Linked DNA regions of Bombyx mori. The protein of the gene in region 2 interacts with the protein of the main gene of each other region in a biochemical or structural test. Links are inferred from orthologs where the notes say so. Each region holds a gene or a part of one and is shown on either strand. Other genes may lie near its edges.

Region 1 (15,380 bases), on a different chromosome or scaffold from region 2:
TACATGACAAAAAAGATTATCAAGCAGATTCTATTATTGAAAATGTACAAAGTTCCGAAAAGCTTGTTGCAGAAAAACCTGGCACAGATTTGAATGCGACTATAGATTTTGTTGGAGAAAAACTGGAAGAAAGAGAAGATAAAAACGTAACTGCAAAAGAAAAGGTTGAAGTGTTATCAAATATCACGAAAAAAGAAAAACCGAAAAAGAAAAAACAGAAAGATGGTAATGAAACATATAATAATAGTGAAGTTCACAACACCGAGAAGACCAAATGTAAAAGCAAGGCTAAACCTAAACAAATTAAAACAAAATTTCATGATTTATTTGGTGACAGTACCAGTTTGATAACACCTGAAGATTTAGGATTAATAACCAACAAAACTCAAGTACAGAATTCAACTAACTACGTGCCGATTTTTGAAGACGCCACCGACGGTATTGAGTTACAAGAAGCAAATAAAATAGCAGTAGAAAATTTAAATGAAGTAAGTATAGAAGGGCTCAATAAAATGACCACCGAGACTATGGAATTCAATAAAATTGAAATTATGAATAATGAACCTGAAAAAGCCATTGCTAATTTGATTGCAATGCCAACTACAGAAACTTGTGATAGCAATGAAAATATTAATCTACATCCGACAGAAAATGAGTCGGATGTAGTTAAGACTGTAATCATATCGACAGGCGTACAGCCCATAGTTTTAACTGATGTACTTGAGAGTATAGAACCATTTCCAACGAATAATCAAGGGACGGTTGTAGAAAAAAATTCAGGAACACTACTGAACGCTCTTGCTACGTCAACTCCATACAAATCAGCACAAACTTTGTCAGACCCCGCTCCAATAGTAACTGAGAACAGTGTAAATAGCAACAATTCAGAAAGTATGAATGCTGCAACAGTTTTGGAAACTTCAGGCAGTGAAACGGTTTCCCAAAAGGACGTACCTGACGTTAGGATATTTCTTAAAAGGAAAAGAAAAATCATAAAAAAATAAACATTTTATCACTAAATCATGAACTTTAAAATTTCGAAAGTGTTCAACAATACTCATTGTTATGTATCATTTAAGAACTTGTAATTATGTGACAAAATCTATTATATGTACATAAACTATGAACTTTCTGTTTATGTGGGTAAAGAAGGTATTTATTTGTGTATAAATATTGAACTAGAAACATATTGTTATAAAATTAAGTTGCAATAAAGAAGCACGACGAAGGGAATATATATGTCAAAGTTTTTTTTTATACTAAGTCTTGTTAGATAATTTATACAATTTAACATTTTTTTAAATGCAATCTTTTATACAAACCAAAATGGATGAAACCATTCTGAAATGTAACAACTACTTTAATCACTATAAGAGTGGAACACTTTTGTGTTGCAAATAAACTACACTATATTCAGTTTTTTGCAAAAAACTGAATATAGTGCAGTTCATTCAGTTTTGCAAAAAACTGAATATAGTGTAGTTTATTTGCTCTAGTAAGTTTAGTAGTAATGTTTAGACTACATAGAAACAAGACGGAGTGACAAATTACTGGCAGCTAGTAGTAGAGCTCTAGTATATTTTTTAAGTTTACTATACTATTAGTGATACCACCTTTTCCTGATTCTACCGAAAACATGAGTCATGTGTTCCGATTGTAGAGAGCCCACTAACTCACATTCTCCGTCTTTAGAAGTAGGCAGTTTTTATCCCACTTAATATTATGTGGATACCGTCGTTCGGATATCAGTATTGCAAGGATACCGAAAGCTGTAGCCTACTACTGAGAACTTTATGAAGTGTGTTGAGTTGTGAAGGTTTATCTCACTACGTGCTTTGAGAACATCGTGGAGGCGAGTAGCGTAAAGACTGCATTCCAAAGCCGAAGGTTGAAATCCAATGGCTTCCAAAAACTACATTCGATAGCAGATGGATCGGCCGTTTGTGACCACGAAAACTGCAAGGTGTCCGAAACGACGGAAATATTTACATGAAAATAACAAAGGCGAGAATAAACAGTAAAAATAGTTTTAAATATAGCAGGATCACAATAATTCCTTGTTGCATATTTTTTAACATTAGGCAGTAGTATCCACGTCATTATGGATCCTCCCGATCGATTAACGGTACTTTTAGGTACCACAAGCACCGGTCACCGTCATCGTCGAACCCGTCGCCTGCGACAAAAGGCTCGACGAGCGAACTAACCCATAGACACAGCCCACTGAGTTTCTCGCCGGATCTTCTCAGTGGGTCGCGTTCCCGATCCGGTGGTAGATTCTGCGAAGCACTGCTACTGCTAGGGTCAGTATCAGCATCACTCCGGTTTGAGCCCTGTGAGCTCACCTACTAGTTAAGGTTACGCTGAAATATCCTCTCAAGGCTATCAGCTTAGGTAGGAAAAAAAAGTAGTATTCACGCTGTAGTGTCTATGGGTTGACCTAGACTAGATGAGCGGTAAATCCTGTCCAGTGTCCACGGCCTATCTACGCCAATGAAAAGATAAAAAAATCATTAAAATAACTTCCCTTAACAGTCTTTATTTTTCCTTACAAATAAAACTATGATATTATTTACATGATTAAATATTTATAGTTGGCTTAATTAAATATGTAATGAAAACATCATTTAATTTTCAAAACATTAAAATTTTTAGTAGAAAATACATACAAAACAAATAAAATATATCACATTTTATATGTCATTACTTCAATACTACCGTCCAAAGGAATGTACAGAATATTGTACTAGTGTAAAAAGCGAGCTTGAAATAAAAATGCATAAGAACACATTTACGTCAGTAAGGCGCGGTCTATGTAGGTAGTTAATTATGGTACTGTTCCCTTAGACGACAGAATAATACAAATTATCAGAATCAATTGTTTTAACAAATAATTAAGTACCTAATTTATAACTTTTCAGTTCATTTAGAACATACTACACAAAGTTTTGTTCTTTAGTTGTCTTGACGACCTCAAATTTATAATTAGATTCAGCTGTGATGTCAAATAGTTTAATAATAAAATCAACACATTCTAGTATCTACATTTAAATTTGAAATAAGTAAATATGTACAGGGACATTAACAAAAGCCGAAAACAATGTTCTACTGCTTGAAGGTAAGTTCATATTTCGTTAATCCACGACAAAACATTTAAGGCAGCCGGCGGTCACGGTTCGTTGACCTCGCGTGTCAGCCGATTTTTACTAATATATTGTAAGCTGTGTAATATAATTTTACGCTTACGATTATGTTAATGTTATATTGTAATTATCGCATTTCGTCTTTTGTTTTCGGAATAGATTCCTTTCTATAGAATCTAAGTATACATAGATATACCTCACACAAAATGAATTAAATAAGAACAGTCATTAAGGTTCAATCAAGTACAACACGTCAGTTCCTATTTGCAGTTTTTTTAATTCAATTAACACAGAAAAATAAATAAATATTGGTTTATATTGGAATAAAAATATATGCTATCATTTTTCTTTGAAAAAGAAATATAAAAATGTTTATTGTAAGAATTTTATGCGCTAGTGAATGAATATGCGTCTTGGGAGTCCAGGCTTTGAGGCCGCCAACATAAAAGCGCATAACAGCTCTACTGTATTTACACTTCCTAACAGGTTTCTCTATGAATGCATGAAAAGCTAATTAACGTTAAACCTATACAGTTCTTAACAACAATAACATTAAGTTCAAGGAAGAACATTTTTAGTCAAACAATAAGTACAATTGTTTTGTACATAGTAAAACTGTTGTAGTCAAAATTATAACGATCCATTTCTTTCGTCAGAACGTCAAAAGTTACGACAGCGTAACATTGTCATATCAACTATACGGTGGAATATGCTATTGGCCGTCATTCCTTAGTACTGTCACCAAAACAATCAGCAATCGATACGTTACGTATGGCTACGAGAAACAAAATCACAAATCTCACTGACTTATATACAAGGACGGTCCCGATTTATATCGAGTATCACATCACAGCACTAGTCACTACAGGCCGTTCTCGAAGCTCCTAGTGTTCGATAAAGTCCGAATGATGTTGTTGGCCATCGGGATGTCGTCGTTTCTGGAGGACGACGGCTGAGTGAGGACTGCGGTGGAGGCGGTCCGTTTGCCTATCTTCCTGAGCACGGTGGCGGCGGCGGCGAGGTCGCAGTGGTCGGACAGCGGCGCCACGTGCTGGTAGCACACGGCGGACGCGTGGCCCGACCGCACTGACGTCAGCGGCGTGCCGTTGCACCAGCTGTTCGTGGCCGGGTCGTACACCTCCACTATATCCAGGAACGACGTGCCGTCGTAACCACCTGAACGTGACAAAATCGATAATAGTTGTTAGTGAGGTGGTGGTTAAAAAAAATGCTGGTTTTACTGGTGCTAGGACCTCTTGTGTGTCCGCACGGGTAGGTACCACCACCCTGTGCCTATTACTGCCGTGAAGCAGTAATGCGTTTCGGTTTGAAGGGTGGGGCAGCCGTTGTAATTATATTGAAACCTTAGAACTTGTATCTCAAGGTGGGTGGCGCATTAACATTGTAGATGTCTATGGGCTACAGTAACTACTTACACCAGGTGGGCTGTGAGCTAGTCCACTCTTCTAAGCAATTAAAAAAAAATGCTACCCAATCCCTATGTTCGCGGTGAGACATTTCTTTATTCGCGGATCTTATCGGTAAATCGGTTCATTGATAAAAAGGATTCCAATATAGGTATAGGTATCCAACCGAAAATTCTTTATAAAAGTGGACTAATAAAAAAGTAAAATAGATCTTATTACAACTATGTCTAGTAGGTATGTTGTTAAATTTATATTTTATTTTATTTATTGCTTTGATGGGTGGACCAGCTCACAGCCCACCTGGTGTTAAGATGGTTACTGGAGCCCATAGACTTCTATAACGTAAATGCGCCACCCACCTTGAAATATAAGTTCTAAGGTCTCAGTATAGTTACAACGGCTGCCCCACCCTTCAAACCGGCATTACTGCTTCACGGCAGAAAGAGGCAACCTACTCGCACGGATTTACAAGAGGTCCTACCACCAGTATATGATATTAATATATTCACGGTTTCTGTATTCGCGGCATTTTTACGGACCATGTGCCCCGCGAATAAAGCGCTTTTACTGTAGATATAACTGCAGATGGGCTCCTCACCGCCCTCTAGTGATTACAGCGCGGACTGCACGCGGCGTCACTGCCTATTTCTGCCGTGAAGCAGTAATGCGTTTTGGTTTGAAGGGTGGGGCAGCCGTTGTAACTATACTTCAAGACCTTAGAACTGATATCTTAACATGGGTGTTGTGTTGCATTTACGTCGTAGATGTCTATGGGCTCCAGTAACCACTTAACACCAGATGGGCTGTGAGCTTGTCCATCTAGCAATAACAAAAAAAAAAACAATCTCACCTAAAGCATACAGTTTGTTATCCAGCACGGTGAGCGAGAGTGCGGAGCGCGCTATCTGCACCGGGGCGACAAGTTCCCAGGTATTTTTCTCAGTATGGTAACGTTCCACGGAGGCCAGCTGCTGGGAGCCATCGTAGCCTCCCACCACGTATATGAACTGATTCATTGCTGCCACGCCTGTAACGAAATTAAGCGTTACATTTCATTATCATCAACATAGATTAGTTGAATCGTTTAAAACACTCTAATTTCAATCAGAGGTCTTGGAACTTGGAAAGTGAGAATGAGTTGCTCGCTCCGGGCATTTCAATATTGCAATAATTGTTACGTTATAATACTCATTGTAAAAATGAATATTTAAAATAATAATTTACTATTTAAAAAAAAGACATGCCCGCTGAGTTTCTTGCCAGTTCTTCTCAGGACGGAGGCTAGTTTTTGTGAATTGACGGTAGTTCTTTTTGACGTCCAACAACTATGTACTTTCATTTATGTTGAATAAATTTTTTTTTTATTTGATTTGATTTAAAAAATTACAATAAAGTGTCTGTAAACAAAAATTGGACCAAAATTATTTTATGTGCATACGACTGAATTAGGACTATATCGGTATCATAGCTTATAGACCGAAACTCAAAAACTAAGCAAAAAAAAACTACAAATCCATTATAAATCGTATATAAATTTACAAGTTTTTAGAGAAGCAAACACGCAAAGTCGTAAAGTATCAGTGTTATCATTGACAAGCGAGCAAGCTCTTCTTTATTATGTCTAAATAGACATGGAAACAACAGTTTCCGATAGTTCGAAATTGCCTTGGGTCGGCGCGAAAAGGTCTCTATACGACCATGAACCTGTTTGTAGGCTGCGTAGAAGCTTACAAACATGAATTAAACTTCAGAAGGTCTATTGACAAATCAATGGGAGGAGATGAGCTCACGGGTTCAACCTGAGAGAATTTTCTAACACCAGCCTGAGCAAGAGTAGTGCTTCGCTGGATCTACCATCGGATCGGAATCGCAACCCGTTGAGAAGAACCCGCGAGAAACACAGTGGGCTGTGTCTATGTGTTAATTCGCTCGTCAAACTCATTGTCGTAATCGACGAGGACGGCGACTGGTGCTTGAAGGGCCTAAAGGCACTGAGAGTGAATCCGACAAGACATGTTTCTGGCGACGGCGGCTTTGCGTTGCCCCGTCGCCTGGGTCGGATATGTAATTAGCGGCTACCACCATAAGGGTGTTATTGTGTCGCGCCGCTTTATCGAAGTAGGGCTCTGATGCTACCTTTAGGTACTAACATATCGGTTCTAAATTTAGATCACGTACCACGGTGCTCCGAGGCCTATTCTGTGAAAATGGGATTAGATGACTTGGAGAGAGTTAATGTAAATACGAGACGCGTGAGCGAACTTTACACTTGTGTAAGTCATGACGAAACGTATGCAAGTTTTGTAGAGTGTCACCTAATTACGAAGGGACAATTTATTTGGGGTAGACGCATTAATGGTATAGACAACAGTAAGGACCTGCTCCGCTGCGCGCGACGTGCATGGGCGCGACCTCGGTCCAGCGGTTGTTCTCGGGGTGGTAGCACTCGACGGAGGCCACGCGGCGCGCGCCGTCGAACCCCCCCGCCGCGTACAGCAGCCGGTTGACGACGGCCACGCCCACACCCAGCCGCGCCGTGCTCATGGCCGCCACGCTGCTCCACAGGTCGCGCTCGGGCTCGTAACTGCAACCAATACATTCTATATGTAACTATACTAAGACCTTAGAACTCATTAGCCCAAGGAGTTTCTCGCCGGATCTTTTGAGTGGGTCGCGTTTCCGATCCGGTGCTAGATTCTGCTTTTTTTCTTTTTTTCTTACCTGTGCTGATAGCCTTGAGAGGCTATTTCAGCTTCACCCTAACGTGTGTAGGTGAGCTCACGGGGCTCAAACCGGAGTGTTGCTAACACTGACCCTAGCAAGAGCAGTGCTTCGCAGAATCTACCACCGGATCTAAAACGCGACCCACTGAGAAGATCCGGCGAGAAACTCAGTGGGCTGTGTCTATGGGTTAATTTGCTCGTCGAGCCCTTCGTCGCAAGCGACGGGTTCGACGAGGGCGGTGGCCGGTGCTTGTTGTGCCTAAAAGCACCGTTAATGACGTGTTTAGGGCGACGTCGACTGTTTACCAATTGGTCTACAGGATCGGGTATGTGAGATTACAAACGAACAATATGATCATACAAACATATAATATTTAAAAAAATAGCTAAAACAATAACCAAACATGTTTCCATTATCACATCACATATAAGTAGATAGTGAACAGAGAAGAGAAATTTAGAAATTTAAGTTACAAAAAACAAAAGCAACACAATACGCACATATTATTATGTACAACTCACACTATAAAACTATAATACTCATCGGTATAAATCACCTTATAAATATTCCAAAATAGCTTTTCTATATGCTACAAGTGACAAGTAAAAGATGTCAGCACTAGAGAACTTAGTATCATACAACCTACAAGATCTACGGACAAAAGAGTTCGAAGCATATTTCGTTCGAGCCGTGGACATGTGGAAGGTCTGTTTAGAACGCGCGGAAATACGACTACATTTAAATGAAACTATGTATTGAATTTAAAAAAGCCTTGAGTTACCATTCAACAGTCCTGTGATATTCTGATCCGGCCGAACCTCCTACGGCGTACAAGAGACCGTCCATTACTGCCACACCGACCTGCAAATATAATTGAAAACATTCAATACTTCGTACTATATTGTTCTATGTGGGTATCATTAAATCATATTGTTTTGTTAGTCGGACACTCTTATCAGAACGGTCGTGGTTGCACTGACTAATTATTGTGGAATAGAGTAATTTATTGAATTAACTTAAACTGCTGGTGAGGCATTCGGCAATCCACCACTGGTACAGAACATGATATTTCTACCCAGCCACGCCCACAATGAGTGGCCTCAAGCGTGACCAGTATTGTTGGGCACTCTCAACTATTTAATATACCTGTCAGAGACCCACATGCTGTGTGCTTAGCGCGAGTTTTTTAATTTCTCAATCGCGTAAAGTCAACTCAAATTTGTATGGAGTTGGAACAACGCCCCTAGCGGCAAACATAGGGATTGAGAAGCTAAAAAAATTCGAACTTTTGTTTGTTCTTTTACCTATGCTGATAGCCTTGAGAGGCTAATTCAGCTTCACCCTAGCGTGTACGTGAGCTCACGGGGCTCAAATCGGGAGTGTTGCTAACACTGGCCCTAACAAGAGCGGTGCTTCGCAGAATCTACCACCGGATCAGAAACGCGACCCACGGAAAAGATCCGGCGAGAAACTCAGTGGGCTGTGTCTATGTCGCACTAAGCACGCTAAATGTAAATGTAAAGATTGGGAAAGCCCGTCCGCGAGAAGCTAGAATAGCCCCTTAGACAACCAGAAATAAATATATTGGGAAAGCACCACATCGTCTTTTCGCATTAAGAGTGTACAATTTCAAAAAATATTCCAAATTGAGTTAATATGCGGAATCCTTTGGTATCACCAGTATTTTTCTCATAAATACTGTCAAAAGAGCGTAGTTTAGTTATAGTTTTTTTTTTAGTTTACCTATATTTTGACTACATACTATTAATAAAATTAATACATAATTTTATCTTCCTTTAAAAGACAGATAAAAAAAATAAAAAACAAATGTTGCAAAGATGATTAATATTGTAATATAATAACATATCACATGTTAAACTTTTAAAACAATCTCCTGTAAAATTAGTAAGTTTTGAGATTATACAGTTTTAATGCGAGAAGACGACATTTGTATACATACCCTATGACGCGGCGTTGACATAGGACTACAAGGTCGCCAGTGTTCCGTGGCGGGGTTATACACGTCGACCCAGTCGCTGTCGTAGGACGAGCCCGGTGACGTATTCCGACCACCGACCGCATAGAATAAACCCTGAAATAAATATTTCATATCGAGGGGTGAAAAGCTATTTAAAGATTTAAGCCACATTTCGCCTCAATACGCGACATTTCACTGTGTAATATTTTATTTTTATTGCTTAGATGGATGGACGAGCTCACAGCTCACCTGGTGTTAAGTGTATTAGTAAGTATCTACAACGTTAATGCGCCACCCACCTTGAGATATAAGTTCTAAGGTCTCAAGTATGTTCCAACGACTGCCCCACCCTTCAAACCGAAACGCATTACTGCTTCACGGCAGAAATAGGCAGGGTGGTGGTACCTACCCGCGCGGACTCGTAAGAGGTCCTACCACCAGTAATTACGCAAATTATAATTTTTGCGGGTTTGATTTTTATTACACGATGTTATTCCTTCACTGTGGAAGTCAATCGTGAACATTTGTTGAGTACGTGTTTCATTAGAAAAATTAGTACCCGCCTGAGATTCGAACACTGGTGCATCGCTCAACACAAATGCACCGGACGTCTTATCCTTTAGGCCACGACGACTTCTCTATAATCGTTAAAGATACGTTTTATTTGGTATTATCATCAACAAATCCAATGTTTTTAATTGAATTTCAATTAAGTTTAGTCCATACAAATATCTGAAGAAGTGTTTTGATATTTTTTTCCAAATTTTAAACATTAAATGGCTCTCCTGTAAATTCGCAAAAACGTCGCTTATACCAAACATCCTTTCTCCCGCCGATACCATTAGATGTACTTAACTGCTTTCTTGGTAACCGTTAACGCATTTCAAAACTATTACGGCACGAATTTCCCATACTTTTTTTTTTCTTATTGCCGTATAGGCAGACGAGCATACGGCCCACCTGATGGTGAGTGGTTACCGTCGCTCATGGACGTCAGCAATGCCAGGGGCAGAGCCAAGCCGCTGTCTAACGTAAAATTCATTTTGTACGTTTTACATAAAATTCGTCATTCGAAATACCATTAAGTCAAACAATTTTATCTCTCATCAACCGAATGATCATGGTTCTATACTCTTCGCATATACGAGTGTTACTGTGTTACTTATAATATTTGCTATGTGTATGTGCTATAATTCTCATGTTGTATTTGTTATTTTAGTTATGTGTTATTTGTTCTACACACACTTATCACTTTTTATTATTATTCTCATTATCCTCTCGCAGGTCTGCTGGAAAAGATTTCTCAAAGAAATAAGCAGTGCCTTTGTACATAATTTTCCTATTACTCTGTACTGTGTCTTGTTTTCTGTGTGTACATAAAAAAATAAAAAAATAAATAAAAAAATAAAAAAATAAATAAGTATTTTTATCTACATTTTTATTTAAATCAATTTTGTCAATAACATACATTGTGCATTAGCGCTTTTATACTATCTTGTTCAAATATTTGAGTACTTTATTAATATTTCTCACGATCTCATGCTTAAACGGTAAAAAAGTTATGTATGATAATATTTAGATTAGATTAATGACGTCCGATCAGGCAAGACTTCAACAGAATACAATGTTGGAAAACATCATAAAGGTTACATTTTAATTCTAGTTCATTAAAGTCCTTATAAGACACAATCCTTTTTTTTTCTTTATGGAAATAGTTTTAATTTTATGCCAGTTTCAAGTAAAAACACAATTTTTGACTTATAATATGTTATTAAGTTTGGTATGTGTGTTATAAGGAAACATTTTTTTTTCGAATTTGGAAATAGAATTCAATGCATTATTTATTAAATAACATTTGATAGAGACACCCAGAATTGTATGCTGCAGTTTCTGCGAGTTTTTTTTTTATAGTTCATTTAATAACGGTCGGAGTGTGTGTGTGTGTGTGTGTGTGTGTGTGTGACACCGGAACCAGCCAAGAAAGTTCTTGGAATGACACAAATAAAAATAAATAATACATTTTTTTTATTGCTTAGTTGAGTGGACGAGCTCACAGCCCACCTGGTGTTAAGTGGTTACTGGATGGTAGAAGTGGTTAATATATTAAAAAGTAAAAAAACAAACACTTGAATAATAAACCGAATTTATACTTAATTTTGTCTTTTTTAATCTGTTGATACTGCTGACATAAGAGCGAATTTATAAAATTATTGAACTGTCATTGGTCCTTGTTTTGATGAATCTATAAATTTTAAAGTTAATGGGACGCATTGAAGCAAGTGAGAATAATGTTCAAAAATTCAGTTACATACAAACGTTTCAAACTAATACAGGCGTATAAATATATGAAAATTCAAAATTGTACGGTTTGTCCAAACAACCCTCTGTTGTTAATTGCTTGACTATAACAGCACCGATCTTACTGAAATAATTGATGTAAAATGCATCGGTATGCAATATGATGTGCGCGCTGGCCCGTACAAAAATATATTGTTGTTCTTGAAAATCTTAATATTTAATTGCATGACTATAGCGGCACCGATCTTACTCAAATATTTTTTATTATTCTATATTAAGAAACACTAGCTTCATTCTTAATTTCATTGCGTGATAAGTATCGAGAAGATTGAGAAAATCATTTTCAAAAATCTATAATATATTTACTCTATCAATTTCTTTTTGATTCACGTGGACAACACGTCTTAGTTACGTGATCGAAAATGATTTGTCCTTTTGGCGGAACCATAAATCAAAGATCAACCCATCGAACATGTGTAAAGGTTTTGCAGTCGCATTATTAGTCGGCATTCTCGCGTCTAGGGCAATCGTTCAATAACATAATAATAATATTATCTTGTATGACAACCCAACGTTATCGTCACACGATGATTCTTATATTTTCCATACAGTAAATGAATGAGTTGTGGAAATTACGCCTATTTTTATCTTCAAAATAAATCTTTCCACACTCTGACGTTAATGTTCAACGACTCTCTAATGTAGAGACCAAGGAAAGGACGTAGTTTTGTGCAATAATCACAACAATGAATTTTTGAATTTCGTTGCAATTATTACATACACGTAAATACATCGATATAATAATGACAGCAAATAATGTTGTGAATTTAGTGTTGTGATGAATTATATATATGTATATAGAATCACCAAACTTATTAATGAAAGAATGAATTAAGGTTTTGACTATCTAGCAGAGATGTCGCCAGAACACGTCCCCTTACGACCCTCTTGTAAAAGTTATCTGAGTCTGCCTCCAGATACTCTTGACGTGAATGACAGTTGGATTGTTGTTGACAGTGAATGTTCACGATTGACTTCCACGGTGAAGAAATAACAAATCGTGTAATAAGAATCAAACCTGCAAAATTATAATTTGCGTAATAACTGGTGGTAGGACATCTTGTGAGTCCGCGCGCGTAGGTACCACCCCCCGCCTATTTCTACCGTTTCGGTTTGAAGGGTGGGGCAGCCGTTATAACTATACTTGAGAGCTTAGAACTTATATCTCAAGTTGGGTGGCGCATTTACGTTGTAGATGTCTATGGTCTCCAGTAACCACGTAACTCTAGGTGGGCTGTGAGCTCGTCCACCCATCTAAGGAATAAAAAAAAACTATATAGTGAAATAATAATAATAGTAAAATACTCTTTCACTGTATTACCTTTAAAAACGCCGCTCCGAGTCCCGACCTGGGCACGGTCAGTCGCGGCAGAGTCGTCCAGCAGTTGTCGTCTAGGTTGAACGACTCGAACGTGTCTATCGAGTGCCTGAAGTACCCGCCAGCCACGTATATAATGCGGGGCGTGTTCGGTCTGCGTTCTTTCACGACCGGGTTCTTGTGTAATGTCAGATCCTGTTGAAATAATAATAAAATTTATTGTTAGTTTTATCATACTCATTGGAAAAATGAATATTTAAAAAGATAATCTAATATTTAAAAAAAAAAAGACATGCACGCTGAGTTTCTTGCCAGTTCTTCTCAGGACGGAGGCTAGTTTTATGTGAATTGGCGGTAGTTCTTTTTGACGTTCAACAAATATGTACTTTCATTTATGTTGAATACAAATTGTTTTGATTTGATTTTACTGGTGGTAGGACCTCTTGTGAGTCCGCACGGGTGGGTACCGCCACCCCGCCTATTTCTGCCGTGAAGCAGTAATGCGTTTCGGTTTGAAGGGTGGGGCAGCCGTTGTAACTTAATTGAGACCTTAGAACTTTATCTCAAGGTGGGTGGCGGCATTTACGTTGTAGATGTCTATGTTTTTTGTAATTGAAAAATAATTTAATTATACGTCCACCTGGCGACAAAATATCAGAACAATAGTCCATTGTAAATACGTTTCTACCAGAAAAAAACATTATACATTCAAATTGGTGTGATGTGTCCTCACCTTGAATATCTTAGCTAAGTATTCCCTACAGGCAGGTACTTTCTTTAGAACCGTACACGTGCTCATTTGCTCCTTCAGGAAGCTCGGTGTTAGGTACTGGCATCGGACCGCCTGCAGGATGTGCTCCATCCGGGGATGCCTTCTGTCCTCATCGTATTTTACCTGTAACGTTTAAGATGATATCAATTTTTTTTTTTTTTTTTTTTATTGCCTTTGTAGGCATACGGGCGTACGGCCCACCTGATGGTGAGTGGTTACCGTCGCCCATGGACTTCAGCAATGCCAGGGGCAGAGCCAAGCCGCTGCCTACCGCTGAAAGCCGCTGCCTACCGCTACCAAGCCGCTGCCTACCGCTGCCAAGCCGCTGCCTACCGCTACCAAGCCGCTGCCTACCGCTGCCTACCGCTACCAAGCCGCTGCCTACCGCTACCAAGCCGCTTCATTTATATATATAGATTGTGTTTCAGTTAAGCTGCAATTATGTGTATGCTATAAATAAATTAATAACGTAGCAGCAGACTATGATTGTGGTCGTTGTTTATCACGAATGCACCGGTTCGCAGTATTACCCACGTACATTCATCTTATACATATAAACAACTTGACAATATGAAGTGACGACGTTTTTTGTTTGGACTTTACACACGATAACGTAAAGATATGTGAGACAGTCTGTTTATTACCTTCTAACATTAAAATTAACCTACTATTTGTTTGATGTAAAATGAAACATCACGTTGTAGATAAGATTTATTCGAAAACAATGATAAGACAATTTGTATACATATCTGTAACAATACACATACAATCTGTAACAAACTGCGCTAAGTCTAATCATTGACTAATTAATGACATATCATAATTGAATTAGACTCGAAAACTGCGTAACTTATAAAACTGCGCTTACATGTGGCAAAAAAACAGAAGAGAACCCTCCAGAAGAAACCTTTTTATCTCATTCTCTTTCTCGTTTTTACTTCAACGGTAAAGAGTTCCTTGTTCGATCCGAATTAAAGTCCTATTTGTTAAACAATGAAATTCCATCTTTTTCTTCGTGAATTTCAATATGCCATATCACTAAATAATATGTATAGCCGTTGCGATAAGTTCTACAAGAATGGTTATTTTGTGAAACCTAGAACCTTTCTTTTAATGCCCTTGTAGGCATGCGAGCGTAGGACACATTTGACGGTAAGTAGTTACCGTCTCTTATGGATGTCAGTAATACCAGGGACATAGCGAAGCCGTTGCCTATTGCGAAGTATTCTTCGCAAAGCTCGTTTGAAGAAGAACATGTCGATTCATCTCTACCTAATGGCCGCCCAGAAGAGATCGCCCAGAATAATACTACCCACTCTTATTTTTGTGTTGCAAAATACGCACATGTATAGTCGGATTTTTTATTAGACGAAGTCAAGTGACGTTTACTGTGTTGTCAGTTTTTAATGAAATAAAAATAGTGTTGTAACAAAGTGAACGATTGAAAAAACTCCTGAATTCATGAAATTGCCTCGATTGTCTAGTGAATAGTTAGTGTGCCGAACTGCTGATATCGGGTACGGGGTTCGAATTTTAGTCGTGCTTTGTACATACCAGCGAGTTTTCGACGATTATGTTCCTATAGTATCTGCCTATACTGAATACCGAGTGTTTTAAACATTAAGGAAAACATTGCGAGGAAACTTGTAAGACTGTCCTA
Region 2 (16,120 bases):
AACTACGCCAAAATCTCGCAAACGGTAAATTATTTTCAAAAATAGACCTTAAAGACGCATACTTACAATTTGAAATAGCACCAGATTCGAAAAAGTACTTGACGTTGTCAACCCATAAAGGGTATTTCCAATACAATAGAATGCCTTTTGGAATATCGACTGCTCCTTCAATTTTTCAACATTTTCTGGATCAACTGCTAGGTGATATCACCAATGTAGCTGTATATTTTGACGACATAGCTATAGCAGGGAAAGATCTTTCAGAACATTTACAAACTTTACCTATTGTATTCGATCGCTTACAAAACGCTGGCCTAAAAGTTAACTTAAAGAAATGTAATTTCTTACAGAATCAGATTGAATACCTAGGTCACATAATAGATAAACATGGCATCCACCCAACCAAATCTAAAATTGATGCCATAACTAAGGCCCCAGCACCGTGTAATGCAAAAGAACTACGATCATTTTTAGGACTAGTAAATTTTTACGAACGGTTTGTACCACATCTTCACGGGATTTGTTCGGATCTTCACGATCTAACTAGTGAAAAAAATAGATGGCGTTGGACTGATCATGAAAACAGAATCATTCAACAGTTCCGATCGCAACGCTGTTGAGCCCGGACGCGTTTTCCTGAATAATTGTCGCTGCTGTCGCGATTGTGTGTCTAGTTTGCACGACATCGTCGTTGTCGCTTTGATCGCGACTTTGTTTTGCATTCCGGACGCTCTGTCGCTGGCATCGCGACCTTGATTCAGTAAAGCGTAATTCGAGTTCGTAGTTCTGCAATCGAAAACGACAATTTCATATTATCACCAAAACATCCAATCCATTGTCATTATTATTTTTATTTATCTATCATTTTAAAAAAACAGTCTCTTTCGAGACTAACCCCCACTGCGATCACCGCTTGTTGTGGCACTCACAACCCAGTGGGGCCCCCACCTTCCCAAACTCTCCACCCCAATCCCAGCTGACCGCCGTTTTCACGGCATAGGCATCCCCCCCCTGCAAATCACTGCTGGCTGGTACAGCGCAGGGGGTTTAAACTCCCACTCAGGGGACTCGCCTTTCGGCGAGTTGCTTTAAGTCCCGGGGACGCCCCCCCTGGGCACAACCACCATGGCGGACGACGACCCCACCATGTTCGTCCTTTTCGTCCGGGAGTTTTGCCCGGACATCATGACTCAATTTAAGGCCCATAAAGCCAAATTAGCAGCTCAGTCCCGCGCACCGCTCGCCGCCGCCGCGAATATCCCAGACTCGCCGATGTCGCCCCCCACCCCCGCGCCCGCGTCGATAGCGTCCTGCGCGGCATCGAGCTCCGGCTCCGACTCCGAGTCGGAGATGGAGTTCGAGTCGGCCGCCAGCCCCGAACCCGGAACCTCCGATGGGTTCCAAACCGTCACGCGCGGGAAAAAACGCGCCCGCGCCGTGGAACCGTCCGCGGCGCCGAAACAACCCAAGGCCGCGAACGCGTCGCGGCCAAAAGTCGTGGTCTCTCCCGACTCCCCTCGCCGCGCAACCCCGTCGCCGCGACCCCAACCCGCGTCCGTCCGCAAAATTCCCGCGCCGCCGCCGGTCATCTTGCGGGAAAAGTCGTCGTGGAACCGGGTATCCCAGGCCCTTACGGCCAACAAAATTAATTACTCCCAAGCGCGTAATCTCGCGCACGGGATACAAATTAAAGTCGCAACGCCGGGCGACCATAGGGCCCTCACTTCTTACCTCCGAAAGGAGAGCATAGGCTACCACACCTATGCACTCCAGGAGGACCGCGAGCTCCGCGTAGTAATACGCGGAGTACCTAAAGAGCTCGACGTCGAGCTAATCAAAGAAGATTTAATTAGGCAAACGTACCCGATTATAAGTGTGCACCGTATGCACAGCGGGCGCGATAAATTCGCATACAACATGGTTCTCGTCGCGCTGGAACCAACCGCCGAAGGCAAACGAATTGCCTCAAGCCTCCGCACCGTTTGCGGCTTATCCGGGGTCACCGTCGAGGCCCCATATAAAAAAGGCACTCCCGGGCAGTGCCACCGCTGTCAGTTATACGGCCACTCCGCGCGCAACTGCCACGCGCGCCCGCGGTGCGTAAAGTGCCTCGGCGACCACGCGACAGCCGACTGTTCGCGGGTCAAAGAGACAGCGACTGAACCACCGAGCTGTGTGCTCTGCCAGAAGCAGGGCCACACAGCCAACTACCGCGGATGCCCCAAGGCCCCGCGGAAGCGTCTGGCCAACGCGCCTCCAAAAACCGTCGGCCCTAAGACTTCGGCGCCCCGCGCGCCGAAACCTGCCTTCGTGCCGGCACCGGTGCCCACCGTCTCCGCGTGGGCAAAACCGCTGCCGCTCACGTTGGCAGGAAAGCCACCGGCACCCCAGCCCCTGCTCGCGCCGCGCCCCGCCCCCGCGCCCGGTCCCGCGCCTCGCCCCGGCCCCGCGCGGCCTGTCGTTAACGAATTCTCAATCGTGCGCGATTATATCGCCGCGATAAATATCGACCGCATGCGTGCGTTCGCCTACGCCATGCGCAGAGCGGTCACGGCCGAAGACCGCCTAAACGCGACGTTCGAGTACATCGACGTCATCGAGTCCGTCCAGCGCACGCTGGTTTGATTACCGGTAATCAATGGCGTGCAACGGTAGGGAAAAACCGCGTTCCATAAAGTTAGCATTTTATAATGCTAACGGACTCGCGCGTCAGCGCGATCAAGTATATGAGTTTCTCCGCGATAATCTCATCGACATCCTTCTGGTGCAGGAGACCTTCCTAAAGCCCTCGCGTCGCGACCCCAAAGTCGCGAATTACGTCATGGTTAGGAATGACAGACTCTCCGCCCGCAAGGGCGGGACTGTCATTTACTATAGGAGGGCCCTGCACTGCGTCCCTCTCGATACTCCCTCGCTCTTACATATCGAGGCGTCAGTGTGCCGCATCGCGCTGACGGGACACCAGCCGATCGTCATCGCATCCGTTTATCTCCCCCCTGACAAACCCCTCCTGAGCAGTGACCTCGAGACACTGTTCGGTATGGGGGACGCGGTCATCCTGGCAGGCGATTTAAATTGCCACCACACTAGGTGGAACTGCCATCGCACAAATGTGAACGGTAGGCGTCTCGACGCGTTCATAGACGACTTCACATTCGAAATATTCAACCCCCCGACCCCCACGTACTATCCGTACAACGCCGCGCGTCGTCCGAGCACAATAGATCTGGCACTGCTGAGGAACGTAACTCTGCGCTTACGCTCCATCGAGGCAATGTCAGAACTCGACTCAGACCACCGACCTGTCGTCATGCAGCTCGGTCGCCCACTCAACCGCGAACCAGATACGAGGACCATGGTGGATTGGAAGAAGCTGGGCACGTGCTTAGCTGACACCGCTCCACCAATCCTCCCTTGCGGCCCGGATTCAACTCCATCCCCCGAGGATACCGTCGAATCCATAAACATCTTCACTGATCACGTCTCGACGGCGATCATAAGATCTTCGAAACAAGTCGATGTGGAGGACTGCTTCCACCGCATCAGACTTTCCCCCGATCTTAGGGACCTCGTTAGAATCAGAAACGCGGCAATCCGGGCCTACGATCGATATCCCACGGATTCAAACCGGACTCGGATGCGTCGCTTACAGCGGGAGGTCAAATCCCGCTTAAGCGACGCCCGAAACGAAAACTGGGATAGTTATTTAGAAGAACTCGCGCCCACTCACCAAGCATACTGGCAACTAGCTAGGACCCTCAAGTCCGAAACTATAGCCACTATGCCGCCTCTCGTACGCCCCTCAGGCCAATCACCGGCTTACGATGACGATGACAAGGCAGAGTTGCTGGCCGATGCACTGCAAGAGCAGTGCACCACCAGCACTCAACACGCGGACCCCGAACACACCGAGTTCGTCGACAGGGAGGTCGAGCGCAGAGCTTCCCTGCCGCCCTCGGACGCGTTACCCCCCATTACCACTTCCGAGGTCAAGGAGGCGATCGATAGCCTACAACCACGGAAAGCTCCCGGCTCCGACGGCATCCGCAACCGCGCGCTTAAACTGTTACCAGCCCAACTGATAACGATGTTGGCCACCATATTAAATGCTGCTATGACGAACTGCATCTTTCCCGCGGCGTGGAAAGAAGCGGACGTTATCGGCATACACAAGCCGGGCAAACCGAAGAACGAAACCGCGAGTTACCGCCCCATCAGTCTCCTCCCGGCGATAGGCAAACTTTACGAACGGCTCCTTCGTAAACGCCTCTGGGACTTCGTATCCGCGAATAAAATTCTTATAGACGAGCAGTTTGGATTCCGCGCCAGACACTCGTGCGTCCATCAAGTGCACCGCCTCACGGAGCACATCTTACTAGGGCTGAACAGGCGGAAACCCATTCCGACAGGAGCCCTCTTCTTCGATATAGCGAAGGCGTTCGATAAAGTCTGGCACAACGGTTTGATATACAAACTGTATAACATGGGAGTGCCAGACAGGCTCGTGCTCATCATACGAGACTACTTGTCGAACCGTTCGTTCCGATATCGAGTCGAGGGAACGCGTTCCCGGCCCCGTCACGTCACAGCCGGAGTCCCGCAAGGCTCCGCCCTCTCCCCGTTACTATTCAGTTTGTATATCAACGATATACCCCGGTCTCCGGAGACCCATCTGGCGCTCTTCGCCGATGACACCGCCATCTACTACTCGTGTAGGAAGAAGGCGTTGCTTCATCGACGACTTCAGACCGCAGCTACCACCATGGGACAGTGGTTCCGGAAGTGGCGCATCGACATTAACCCCACGAAAAGCACAGCGGTGCTCTTCAAAAGGGGTCGCCCTCCGAACACCACGCTGAGCATCCCTCTCCCGACTAGGCGCGTCAATAACCCCGCCCCCGCCGTTCGCCCAATCACGATGTACGACCAGCCCATACCGTGGGCCCCGAAGGTCAAATATTTAGGCGTCACCCTCGACAGTAGGATGACATTCCGCCCCCACATCAAGACGGTACGCGATCGTGCCGCCTTCATCCTAGGACGTCTCTACCCGATGATATGTAGGCGAAGTAAAATGTCCCTTAGAAATAAGGTGACACTCTACAAAACTTGCATACGCCCCGTCATGACCTATGCAAGTGTAGTGTTCGCTCACGCGGCCCGCATACACTTAAAATCCTTTCAAATTATTCAATCCCGTTTTTGCAGGATAGCCGTCGGAGCCCCGTGGTTCGTCAGGAACGTCGACCTCCATGACGACCTGGACTTAGAGTCCATCAGTAAGTATCTACAGTCGGCGTCCATGCGCCACTTCGATAAAGCGGCACGACACGAGAACCCTCTCATCGTGGCCGCCGGTAACTACATTCCCGATCCTGCGGACAGAATGGAAAGCAGTCGACGTCGCCCTAAACACGTCATCTCGGATCCTCCTGATCCACTAACGGTGCTTTTAGGTACTTCAAGCACCGGTCACCGTTCTCGTCGAACCCGTCGCTTGCGACGAAGGGCTCGACGAGTAAATTAACTCTCAGACACAGCCCACTGAGTTTCTCGCCGGATCTTCTCAGTGGGTCGCGTTTCCGATCCGGTGGTAGATTCTGCGAAGCACGACTCTTGCTAGGGTTCGTGTTAGCAACATCGTCAGGTTTGAGCCCCGTGAGCTCACCTACTAAAGTTAAGGCTACGCTGAAATAGCCGCTAGGGCTATCAGCTTAGGTAGGAAAAAAAAAAAAATATTTGAAGATACAAAGAAATGCATAACTTCTTCACAACCATTAATTGCATTTGACGAGAAACGTCCCCTTTATTTAGCATGTGACGCTTCCGACAAGGGATTGGGTGCAGTATTATTCCACAAGGACTCGAACATAGAACAACCAATTGCTTTTGCTTCAAGGAAACTACGACCAGCGGAAATGAAATATTCCGTTATTGATCGTGAAGCTTTAGCAATAGTATTTGGTATAAAAAAATTTGATCAGTACTTGAGAGGAACGAAATTTAATCTAGTTACGGACCATAAGCCTCTTATACATATTATGGGTGCACACCGCAACCTTCCTAAACTAGCCAATAACCGATTGGTAAGATGGGCCCTAGTAGTGGGAAGTTATCAATATGACATTTACTACAGGAAAGGTGAAAATAACACATTAGCTGATTGCCTTTCCAGATTACCAAACCCTGAAACTGAACCCTCCGAGACAGAAGGGCTTGTACATAAAATAGATCTACGTCTTTTGAGCACTCGAATGACTGACCTTAATCTATCAGAACAGTTACTTATGAAAACAACTTCAAAGGATCATATACTCACAAAAGTTTGTCAAAATTTAAAAACCGGCTGGAGAGAATCAGATTACAATCCAGAAATGAAACCATTCTACAGAAACCGGACTGAATTATCTGTTGAGAATAAGATACTTGTGAGGCAAGGACGCATCGTTATACCTACAGCACTCCGAAAAGCCATTCTTACATACCTTCATCGAGGACATCCTGGCATTTCTGCTATGAAAGCACTTTCACGTTACTATGTTTGGTGGCCTAACCTTGACGAAGACATAGAATTATTTGTCAAGAAATGTACCAGATGCCAACAGAACCGCCCTTGTAATCCTGAACTTCCTGTATTTTCCTGGTCCATACCAGAAGAAGTATGGGAGAGAATCCATATCGACTTTGCTGGACCGTTCGAAGGATCGTATTGGTTGGTATTGTGCGACGCTCTCTCCAAATGGGTGGAAATACGACCGATGAAACACATCAACACCAGATCACTTTGTCTTACATTAGATAACATATTTTGTACATTTGGCTTACCAAAAATGATTATATCCGATAATGGACCTCAATTTACATCTTATGAATTTAAAGAATATTGCACAAAACAATCTATTTTACATGTCACATCATCTCCATATCATCCTCGGACAAATGGGCTGGCACAACGTTTAGTCAGAACATTCAAAAATAGAATGGCATCGGTAGACAACACAAATCTCGAGCGCCGACTATTAGAATTTTTGTTTACATACAGAAACACTCCGCACTCGTCCACTGGTAAATCTCCAGCTGAGATGATGTTTGGACGACAATTGAACTGCATACTTTCCAACATTCGGCCAGACAAAAGAAGATTAATGCAGTATTTACAAGTAAAAGAAAACATTCGTACCACATCACCGAGTTACCGACCAAGTGACCAAGTATATATTAAAACACGCAATGATAAAATATGGGAACCAGCGGTAATTACATCCCGAAAACATAAATATTCATATATTGTTTCAACACCAGGAGGACTAGAAAAACGAAGACACGCTGATCACATCAGGCCACGCGAGTCCTCCACCTCAGAAACCCCGAGGAATGAAAGGGCGCATTCTTCTATGCTGCCGGCGACTGCTTCTCCAGACATTGGAATGGAAACAACAATTAACGAAAGGCTAACTAAAAACAAGAATTCAGCAGCAGTACCATTACCTACACCGCAGTCACCTACAAATGTACAAATTTCTCCAAATTCACCTTCACAGCATTCGAAGTTATACTCCTCACCTGCTCCGGTCTCCACTCCTGTGCCATTTGCTGCGCGTCGAAGTAATCGACGTATACAGGCACCCCGCCGTCTGATCAACGAGATGTAGATGGGGAGGAATGTTGTAACCTTCTTTTCCATATTCCATTATTTGAAATATACTTCGAACACATTGTCATTTTTACCATCTATCATTATTATATTTTTATGCTATGTCTTGAAAACATTGTTTTATTATATCGACTTTTATACCTTTTCGATACTTGGAATTTTATATCGATCGATATATATTGAAGTATTAAATAAAGCTCAAAAATAACTATAATTTAAAAAATTTATATCGATATATCGATGTATCGATATTTTTTCAACAAGCCTAGTTCGCATTGGCTATTTGCGAGAAATCGCGCCAACTGCTGAAATTTTTTAGATTTAACTTTTTGTGATAGTTATAATTTAGATAAGATTTTATTTGTGTAATTGTTAAAGTTTTCTATTAAAGTTTGAAATAAACCATAATATTCTAACGCTATTCATAGCAGTGATCGTGAGAAATATTGGACTCTACAACTCTCATCTCAATCAAAATAAATTCAACAATACGCAACGACTTTTTGATTTTGGTTAACTTTAAGTGTTAAAACAACTGAAACAAAATATAACAATTTTTAAAGCTAAGTTCAATATGGAGGAAGGTGATTTCGATCAACGTTTGAGAGACTTACAAAGGGAGTACCTCGAATTTCTTGACGATGGTGTGAGTTAATTATTTTTTGATATTAGGTATTGAAGTAAATGAAAGCTTTAAATTTTTTTCTGGTTACAATAAGTTTTAATATCTGAAATAAAATAATGAAGTATTTCAACCTCCTGTCCCATTAAAAATGGAGGCACTCATCTTTATAGATATGATTTTAAATAATCATAAGTGAAGTGCTTTGAAATTATAGAAGAAACTGATTTATTCTATTTTTTTCCGTTTCTTGTTTTATATTTTTTGTGGATTTCAATATTGCTAAGTTATCATAATCAATTTACGACACGTTGACAGCTTCTCTGTAATTTGTTAATATATAAATTAATTTTAAATGTCCAGGAAGATCAAGAAATTTATATGGAAAAAGTGAAACAGATGATAGAAGATAAATCAAAGCGCCTCTTAGTCAGCATCAATGACTTAAGGCGTAAAAGTCCTGAACGTGCCAAGAATTTACTAGAGAATGCCTTTGAAGAACAGATAGCATTCCAAAAGGCTTTAAAAGAATATGTGTCTTCGATAGACCCTACATATGCTAAAATTCAAGAGGAGTTTTTTGTGGCATTCTCAGGAAGTTTTGGTAACAAACATGTTACACCCCGAAGTTTGACATCTAGGTGGGTTATTACTTATAAACATGCTTATTAAAGTTCTACTGCTGAATTATGTCATTTTAATTTTAAGATGTGCTATAATTAACGAGCTTGTAAGGTTAAAACTAAGTTTGTTTTATGATATGTGATGGGTTCACCTAAAATTTATTTTTGTTTGTTTTCTGTGTGCAAAATTAATCTGTTTGAATATATATAAAAGTACTAGATTCAATGAAAAAAATATTTCATAATTATATAGTTTTAAGATTCAGTGCATACTATACATGTGGAGATGGAACAAGAAATTTACTGCTGAATACTACTGAAAATTTACAATCTTCCATAAATATTTGAGCTGTAAGCGTTTTTTTTATGATCATATACAAAAACAGAGGTCTAAAGTAGCTGAATAAGCTCAAACGTACAAAATGAGTCTAGATTTATTTACAAAAAATTGCATAAAAGAAAGATTCAGGATAAGTTACAATGTATTGTGCTTTAGATATTAGTCAGATTAGAATTGATTGAGAATATTATTTGTTTTTCTCACACTTATCTAATTGTTGTAATATTTCCAGGTACCTCGGAAATCTAATCTGTGTGGAAGGCATAGTGACTAGAGTATCATTGGTTCGTCCTAAGGTGGTCAGAAGTGTACATTATTGTCCAGTTACCAAAAAAGTGATGGAAAGGAAATATACCGATCTAACTTCATTTGAAGCATTTCCCACCTCTGCTGTATACCCTACTAAGGTCCATAGTTTAGTCATTAATTAAAATTAGAATAGAATAACAAGAAATTGTTAGTGAAATATAAAGATCTCATTAGACTACCTTCTAAAAAAACCTTCTACTCTGTGCTGAAGTAGTAGACTACTTCAGCACAATGTGGTATTTTCTCTGTATTTTGCCAGTTGTCGTAGACAGCTACTACACATTTGTTATTTATTTTGCTACTTCGACTACTTATTTTCACGACACATTATGATCAGAATCTGTGAACTAAACTTATTTTAAATGTTTTCAAAATAGGTAAAGATAAGCATAATTTTAACTGATTCTTTTGCTATATTGGATGACATAATAAGTTACTAATTTTAAAGTTATCTTACGATTTATAGATACATTAGCACTTCTATAATTGTAGTCAAAAAAATTTAACTTTTTATATCTTAAATGGGTGGACAAACTCACAGCCCACCTGGATTTAACCTGGAGCCCATAGACATCAACAAAATATCATCACCTACCTTGAGCCATGAGCTCTAAATCTCAGTTTAATAGTAGAATAGCTGTGTGGTCCGGTCCACCTTTCAAACTGTGTCATAGTAAAAATAGACAGGTTGGTGATATTTTGCCATTTGTGTCTGAAGTTTATGAGTAACATTTATAGTGTAACTCGTATGTTCATAGGATGATGAAGGCAATCCTCTAGAAACTGAATATGGACTTTCGCGGTACAAAGATCATCAGACCCTTACCGTTCAAGAGATGCCCGAACGGGCACCAGCTGGGCAACTGCCAAGAAGTGTAGATATTATATGTGATGATGATCTAGTAGACAAATGTAAACCAGGAGACCGGGTGCAGATTGTAGGGAACTATAGATGCCTGCCCAATAAGCAGGGAAGCTTTACTGCTGGAACATTCAGGTATGAAGAGAAGTTACCTTTTGATATACATTTTTTTTATTGCCTTTGTAGGCAGACGAGCATACGGCCCACCTGATGGTGAGTGGTTACCGTCGCCCATGGACTTCAGCAATGCCAGGGGCAGAGCCAAGCCGCTACCTTCCGCTATGAAATATACATTTGAAAAGGATCATTATAAGAATTTAATTAGGTTTTGTTTCTTTTGAATTGTCATCAATATGTGTCTGGTGCTGTACATTTTAAAGGACCACTCCAGTATATAGTGCTCAAAGTCCTTTACACACAAAGGTACCGACAGTGTGGGTATTCAAGAAAGTATTTGTTCTTCTTTTAATAAAAAGGATTGCTATTGACACTGAACCATCTTGGGTAACCAGCATGTTTTCTTAAATTTATAATTCACTAAACAAAATAATAAAACAATAGTACCTTCATTTAAAACCATTATTATATACTTATTCCTGAATATTACATACTGAATTCATATTTTACATTTGTCTATTTACCCCAGTCCATAGAGGATTCAATTTAAAGTAATGTTATATTTTTTCAGAACAATCCTTATAGCTAACAATATAACACAAATCAACAAGAATATGAACATGTCAATAAACAGGGAAGATGTTAAGATCTGTAAAAGACTCGCAAAGAGAAAGAATGTTGATATGTTTGAACTTATGAGCAAATCTTTAGCTCCGTCAATCCATGGTCATGATTATATCAAGAAAGCTATTTTGTGCTTATTGCTTGGAGGCATGGAGAAGGTACTGCCAAATGGTACAAGATTGCGAGGGTGAGTATGTATTGGTGGGTTTGAATACAAAAGGATGAATTTGTTTGCTTGTGACCTATATGTTTGCATGTTTTTAAATCAGAATGAGTTGCAATTGTGATCAGCCATTGGCAGTTCAGAGAAGGTTTTAGTCATAGGACTATTAAAGTATGGTAGTTCTGTATTAATTACTTCATAAATGAGTATTAGTAGTTAGCATTTTTGTAAAGGAGAAACCTCGATTTCACTAGTTAATTCTTACTTACGGGAGAATGTTGCAAAGTATAACGAGGACTTTGTTATACTTCGAAGTGTTACTGCCATTTTGTTACTTTATCACTACTTTGTCTATTTGTTTGGACAATTAATAAAATAACAAATTCAATAGATGAAAATGCAATCCCTATTGTTCCTTCCTCTTAAAATAATCTTAAATCATCGTAATAAAAAAATCTTAAATAATCACATAAAACTGATTAATCACCTTAAAGAGTACGAGAAGAAAGCTTGGAAAAGTAGGATCATGGGTGACATTATGAATTAAATAGTAAAATGCAGTTTCCTTAAAGATCGGATTCTACATGTACTTTGGGAAGAGATCCCCAAATTACAAAATGAAACCGTACCTTGTCTTATTTTGTATTTTGCAAGCTTGTTGGATACGCCATTGTTTTTGATTGCGTTCTGCGTGGTACATTCCACTTGGAGGTCGGTTTCGTGTGCCTTCTTATATTTAATTTGTAGTTATACCGACAAAAAGAAGATCTTGTTGTTTGGATCTTGTATATATGCGAGCTTATCTTGAGAATGTCGCAAGCCAGATTTACGCATCTGTCAAATATCTTGTGTTGTATGATGGCTACCGCCACAAATTAAAAGCTGTCATTTAGTACTAAAACATTACGGTTGTTTTTCGTTTACAGAGACATCAACGTTCTGCTAATCGGCGACCCATCAGTGGCGAAGTCCCAGCTGCTCCGCTACGTGGTGCAGACCGCGCCGCGCGCCATCACCACCACCGGCCGCGGCTCGTCCGGCGTCGGGCTCACGGCTGCCGTCACCACGGACCCGGAGACAGGCGACCGGAGGTGGGCACAGACACATAACGATACTATATTTTTAAGTCGTCGTGGCCTAAAGGATAAGACGTCCGGTGCATTCGTGTTGAGCGATGCACCGGTGTTCGAATCCCGCAGGCGGGTACCAATTTTTCTAATGAAATACGTATTCAACAAATTTAATGTTTCAGTAATGCGTTTCGATTTGAAGGGTGTGGCAGCCGTTGTAACTATATTAAGACCTTAGAATTTATATCTCAAGATGGGTGACACATTTACGAAGCATGTTCTCATGTGTTCGGTTGTTGGAACGTTAAGACCTCCCTCCTCGCATCGTTTTCTTTATTACTGAGGGTCGTGACTTCCCCGCTGCATCCGCTTCTCCCGTACGATTTCCCTCCATGTGCTGGGATCCTTAGCTTCATGAAGGGTATTGTGGAAGTTGATGTTTAGAGAAGATTGTATTTGGTCCGACCATCTCGTCGGACTGCGTCCTCTGGGACGTTTACCATCTACCTTTCCAGTCACCATCAACTATTTTGGATTGTGACCCTCTTAAAGGTAAGATCAATAAGTAATAGATATAAACCATTCCAGTTGTATCAGATGTGTCGTACAAAATAAATAAATCATCTATCATGTATTTAAATTATCGGTGTATTTATCAAAGATTTTTTTTAAAGGATTTTATGACCTGGTAACTAAGACCTTTAAGTCATGTCTTATTTTAATTTATATTCTTATTTTTATGAAAAATGATAATATGAAATGAAATGGAGATGATTAATTTGAGACGATAGTCAACTGGGATGAAATTAAATGAAATGAGATGAGATGATATGGGATGAAATATAATTTCAGTAAAATGGTGGTCATTTACTGAGATTTTTTCAGTGCGCTTTTTGGAGGATCCCGAGAAATTACGTCCAGCGGCTTTGTTTCATTTTCCCACATTTGTGCACTTTCACAGATACTAAACACTTAATAAACCACCGTTATTACACATTTAAACCTGAAGAAACACTAAATAGACAAAAATAAAACAAATCATACAACTTCACTCCTCGCGTTCCCGCCAAAAAGTCAAAGAGCCGGTCCCTGACACCAGATCGCTTTGTGGTCAGAATAGAGTTATCAGCGACGGAATCTCATGCTATGTTGCAGGCTGGAAGCGGGCGCGATGGTGCTGGCGGACCGCGGCGTGGTGTGCATCGACGAGTTCGACAAGATGTCGGACATCGACCGCACCGCCATCCACGAGGTCATGGAGCAGGGCCGCGTCACCATCGCCAAGGCCGGCGTGCACGCCTCGCTCAACGCGCGCTGCTCCGTGCTGGCCGCCGCCAACCCCGTGCTCGGCAGGGTATGCTGACCCCACAGACATACGGCCTCCCACTCTATGACAACGTATCGGTGGTAGCATTTATCATTAGTAGAACTAGCACGATCATAGGATTATAGGATGGTGTAAAATAAATACGAGAGAGAGAGAGAGAGATAGATAAAGAGAGATAGAGAGAGAGAGAGCATTCTTGTACACCAACAAAAAAACAATGCAAACATTAAATACAAAAAAAATAGTACAATTTTCGGTCGTATCGATAAGAAAGATCTCTTCCAGACAACTATCAGGTGGAAAAGAATCATTTGGAAACGAATTTCACGCGGTGTACCAATCTATTGATATATAACGCATATACACATAAACACACATACATACATATACATACACAAATTCCTTACATATATACATTTACGAGCTTATGTAACCCTAAAATAACAATATTTTATCGTATCGATAATTCTTCAAATTTATTTTCCAGTATGATCAGTACAAAACGCCCATGGAGAACATCGGCCTGCAAGACTCGTTGTTGTCGCGTTTCGACTTGCTATTTGTGATGCTGGACATCGCCGACGCCGACCAAGATAATATGATCTCTGAACACGTTCTTAGGATGCACAGATATAGGTCAGTATGCGTCTCCATACATACCGTTCTCTCGTGAGCAGCCGACGGTCGATACTGTTGCCCAATCATTAAAATTTGACCATAATATGAGACCTCATGATTTAGATTCATTTTGTGTATAATGCTGCATGCCCCTTGCTGTAACTTATTCAAGGAAAAATTACATGTTTTTTTATGAACTAGTGTTCCCCGCAGTAATCGAAATTCAACGATAATTATTAATTGAAATTATAAGTTTAAACATTATTATGGTTCTATTGTCAAAGACTTTAATTCTATAACCACAGATTTGGTCAAGGCTCCACTAAAGACAAATATTAATAAATATAAATAATATTAATCTATTCTCAATTTGACCACAGTCTTTAAACAATAACAAAAGTTTGACAATAAACAAGGAGTATATATATGTTGTGTATGTCGAATACATGGTAGTGTTATTTAAAATAATATTCACATTCTGCACTCCTCTATATTCTCTGTAAGTGTGCGAAATTTCATACTTCTCCATCCGCTCAATTGCTCTTTGAGAAATGATTAATTGTTTTATCTTTGCCTATTTATATGCTTAGCTTAAATGGCATTAAAACATACTTATTGATTGTTCCGAGAAGAAGTGTTGAAACAAACTCATCGTGCTCATTTTATGTTCTTTGTTCTCTTAAAAATACTTTAATCAATCAATTGTTATTATAAATACAAACAAATAATAAATTTAATGTATCTAATAACATGAAAAGCTTTAGAGCGACCATCTCATTTCCACATTATGCTACCCCTTTTTTGGTAAACCGGTGAATCCATTTAAATATTTCACGACCAGCCTTATTTTTAACTCTAACGGAGTTTATACGCATCGCAAACTGGATGCCGCTACCCATCTTGATACCCGTCTTAATTATTTCATTAAATTACAATTTTTACAAGTCTGTATTTATTACATGAGGTTATTAGTTTATATAAAAATTTTCGTGAATGTGTGTAAACTAAGAATAAGAAGAAGAAAAAATTGGTACCCCGCCTGCGGGATTCGAACACTGGATAGTCGTATCGCTCGATATGAACCGCGAGTCTTATCCTTCAGACCACGATGACTTTGTCTCTCTATAGATGGTTTTAAAATTTTCTTTTCTAAAGCAGAAGGTATTTTCTCCAAGGTTATAGTTTGTGTGCGATTGAATATTAATCTCAGAAGCACAAAGAAGCCTCATACATTTGTTTTAATACTCATTTTTTTATTATTGTTGCATAGAAATCCAAAGGAACAAGACGGAGAAGTATTACCGATGGGATCACTAGTCGAAATGCTTTCCACCGAGAACCCTGACAATGATGAAGTTGATGTATGTATTTGCAAGGTGTATAATTATTTTCAACCACGGCATTTGTTCCAATTAATTTTGAATGAAAGTGTCTGATAAAACCTGCATTATTGTATTGTTGGTTCTTACAGTGCAGGGGATCCAAGTTTAGGGCCAGATGATGCTGCATAATTACTCATGAATTATCTATCTATATGTATTATCAACCACAACACTTTCCAGTAGTTAGTTTTAATAGAAAAAAACTACTATATAGTTGCCTTGGTAAACGTTAACCCAAGCGGTTTTTCTTCCCTATACGAATTGGACAAAAATAAAACTACATAAATATATACATATATATTGTAAAACCCTGAAATAATCCATGTTCCATATTTGTCTTCCAAGGATACAGCCGAATCCATTTACGAGAAATACGATCCTCTGCTCCACGGCAACACTCGCAGCAAGA

What was found.
Region 1: the proteins of DNA replication licensing factor Mcm3 (region 2) and kelch-like ECH-associated protein 1B form a complex in vitro, tested with the Homo sapiens proteins (2 studies listed by BioGRID, with this or other methods). The link is inferred for Bombyx mori from reciprocal best matches to the Homo sapiens genes MCM3 and KEAP1.

What each region holds. Positions count from the first base shown.
Region 1 is NC_085128.1:13,249,397-13,264,776, forward strand, and holds the end of kelch-like ECH-associated protein 1B, read right to left. Parts: intron 13,844-15,380; coding exon 13,682-13,843; intron 13,144-13,681; coding exon 12,952-13,143; intron 9,387-12,951; coding exon 9,255-9,386; intron 8,156-9,254; coding exon 8,076-8,155; intron 7,155-8,075; coding exon 6,949-7,154; intron 5,598-6,948; coding exon 5,421-5,597; intron 4,320-5,420; coding exon 4,006-4,319; 3' UTR 2,520-4,005; downstream 1-2,519. Other genes in the region: uncharacterized protein LOC101738570, read left to right, coding at 1-1,004. UniProt on the Homo sapiens protein: Substrate-specific adapter of a BCR (BTB-CUL3-RBX1) E3 ubiquitin ligase complex that regulates the response to oxidative stress by targeting NFE2L2/NRF2 for ubiquitination.
Region 2 is NC_085112.1:2,196,543-2,212,662, forward strand, and holds the start of DNA replication licensing factor Mcm3, read left to right. Parts: upstream 1-7,906; 5' UTR 7,907-8,228; coding exon 8,229-8,300; intron 8,301-8,639; coding exon 8,640-8,917; intron 8,918-9,471; coding exon 9,472-9,646; intron 9,647-10,306; coding exon 10,307-10,545; intron 10,546-11,098; coding exon 11,099-11,338; intron 11,339-12,240; coding exon 12,241-12,405; intron 12,406-13,539; coding exon 13,540-13,738; intron 13,739-14,198; coding exon 14,199-14,347; intron 14,348-15,599; coding exon 15,600-15,690; intron 15,691-16,056; coding exon 16,057-16,120. UniProt on the Homo sapiens protein: Acts as a component of the MCM2-7 complex (MCM complex) which is the replicative helicase essential for 'once per cell cycle' DNA replication initiation and elongation in eukaryotic cells.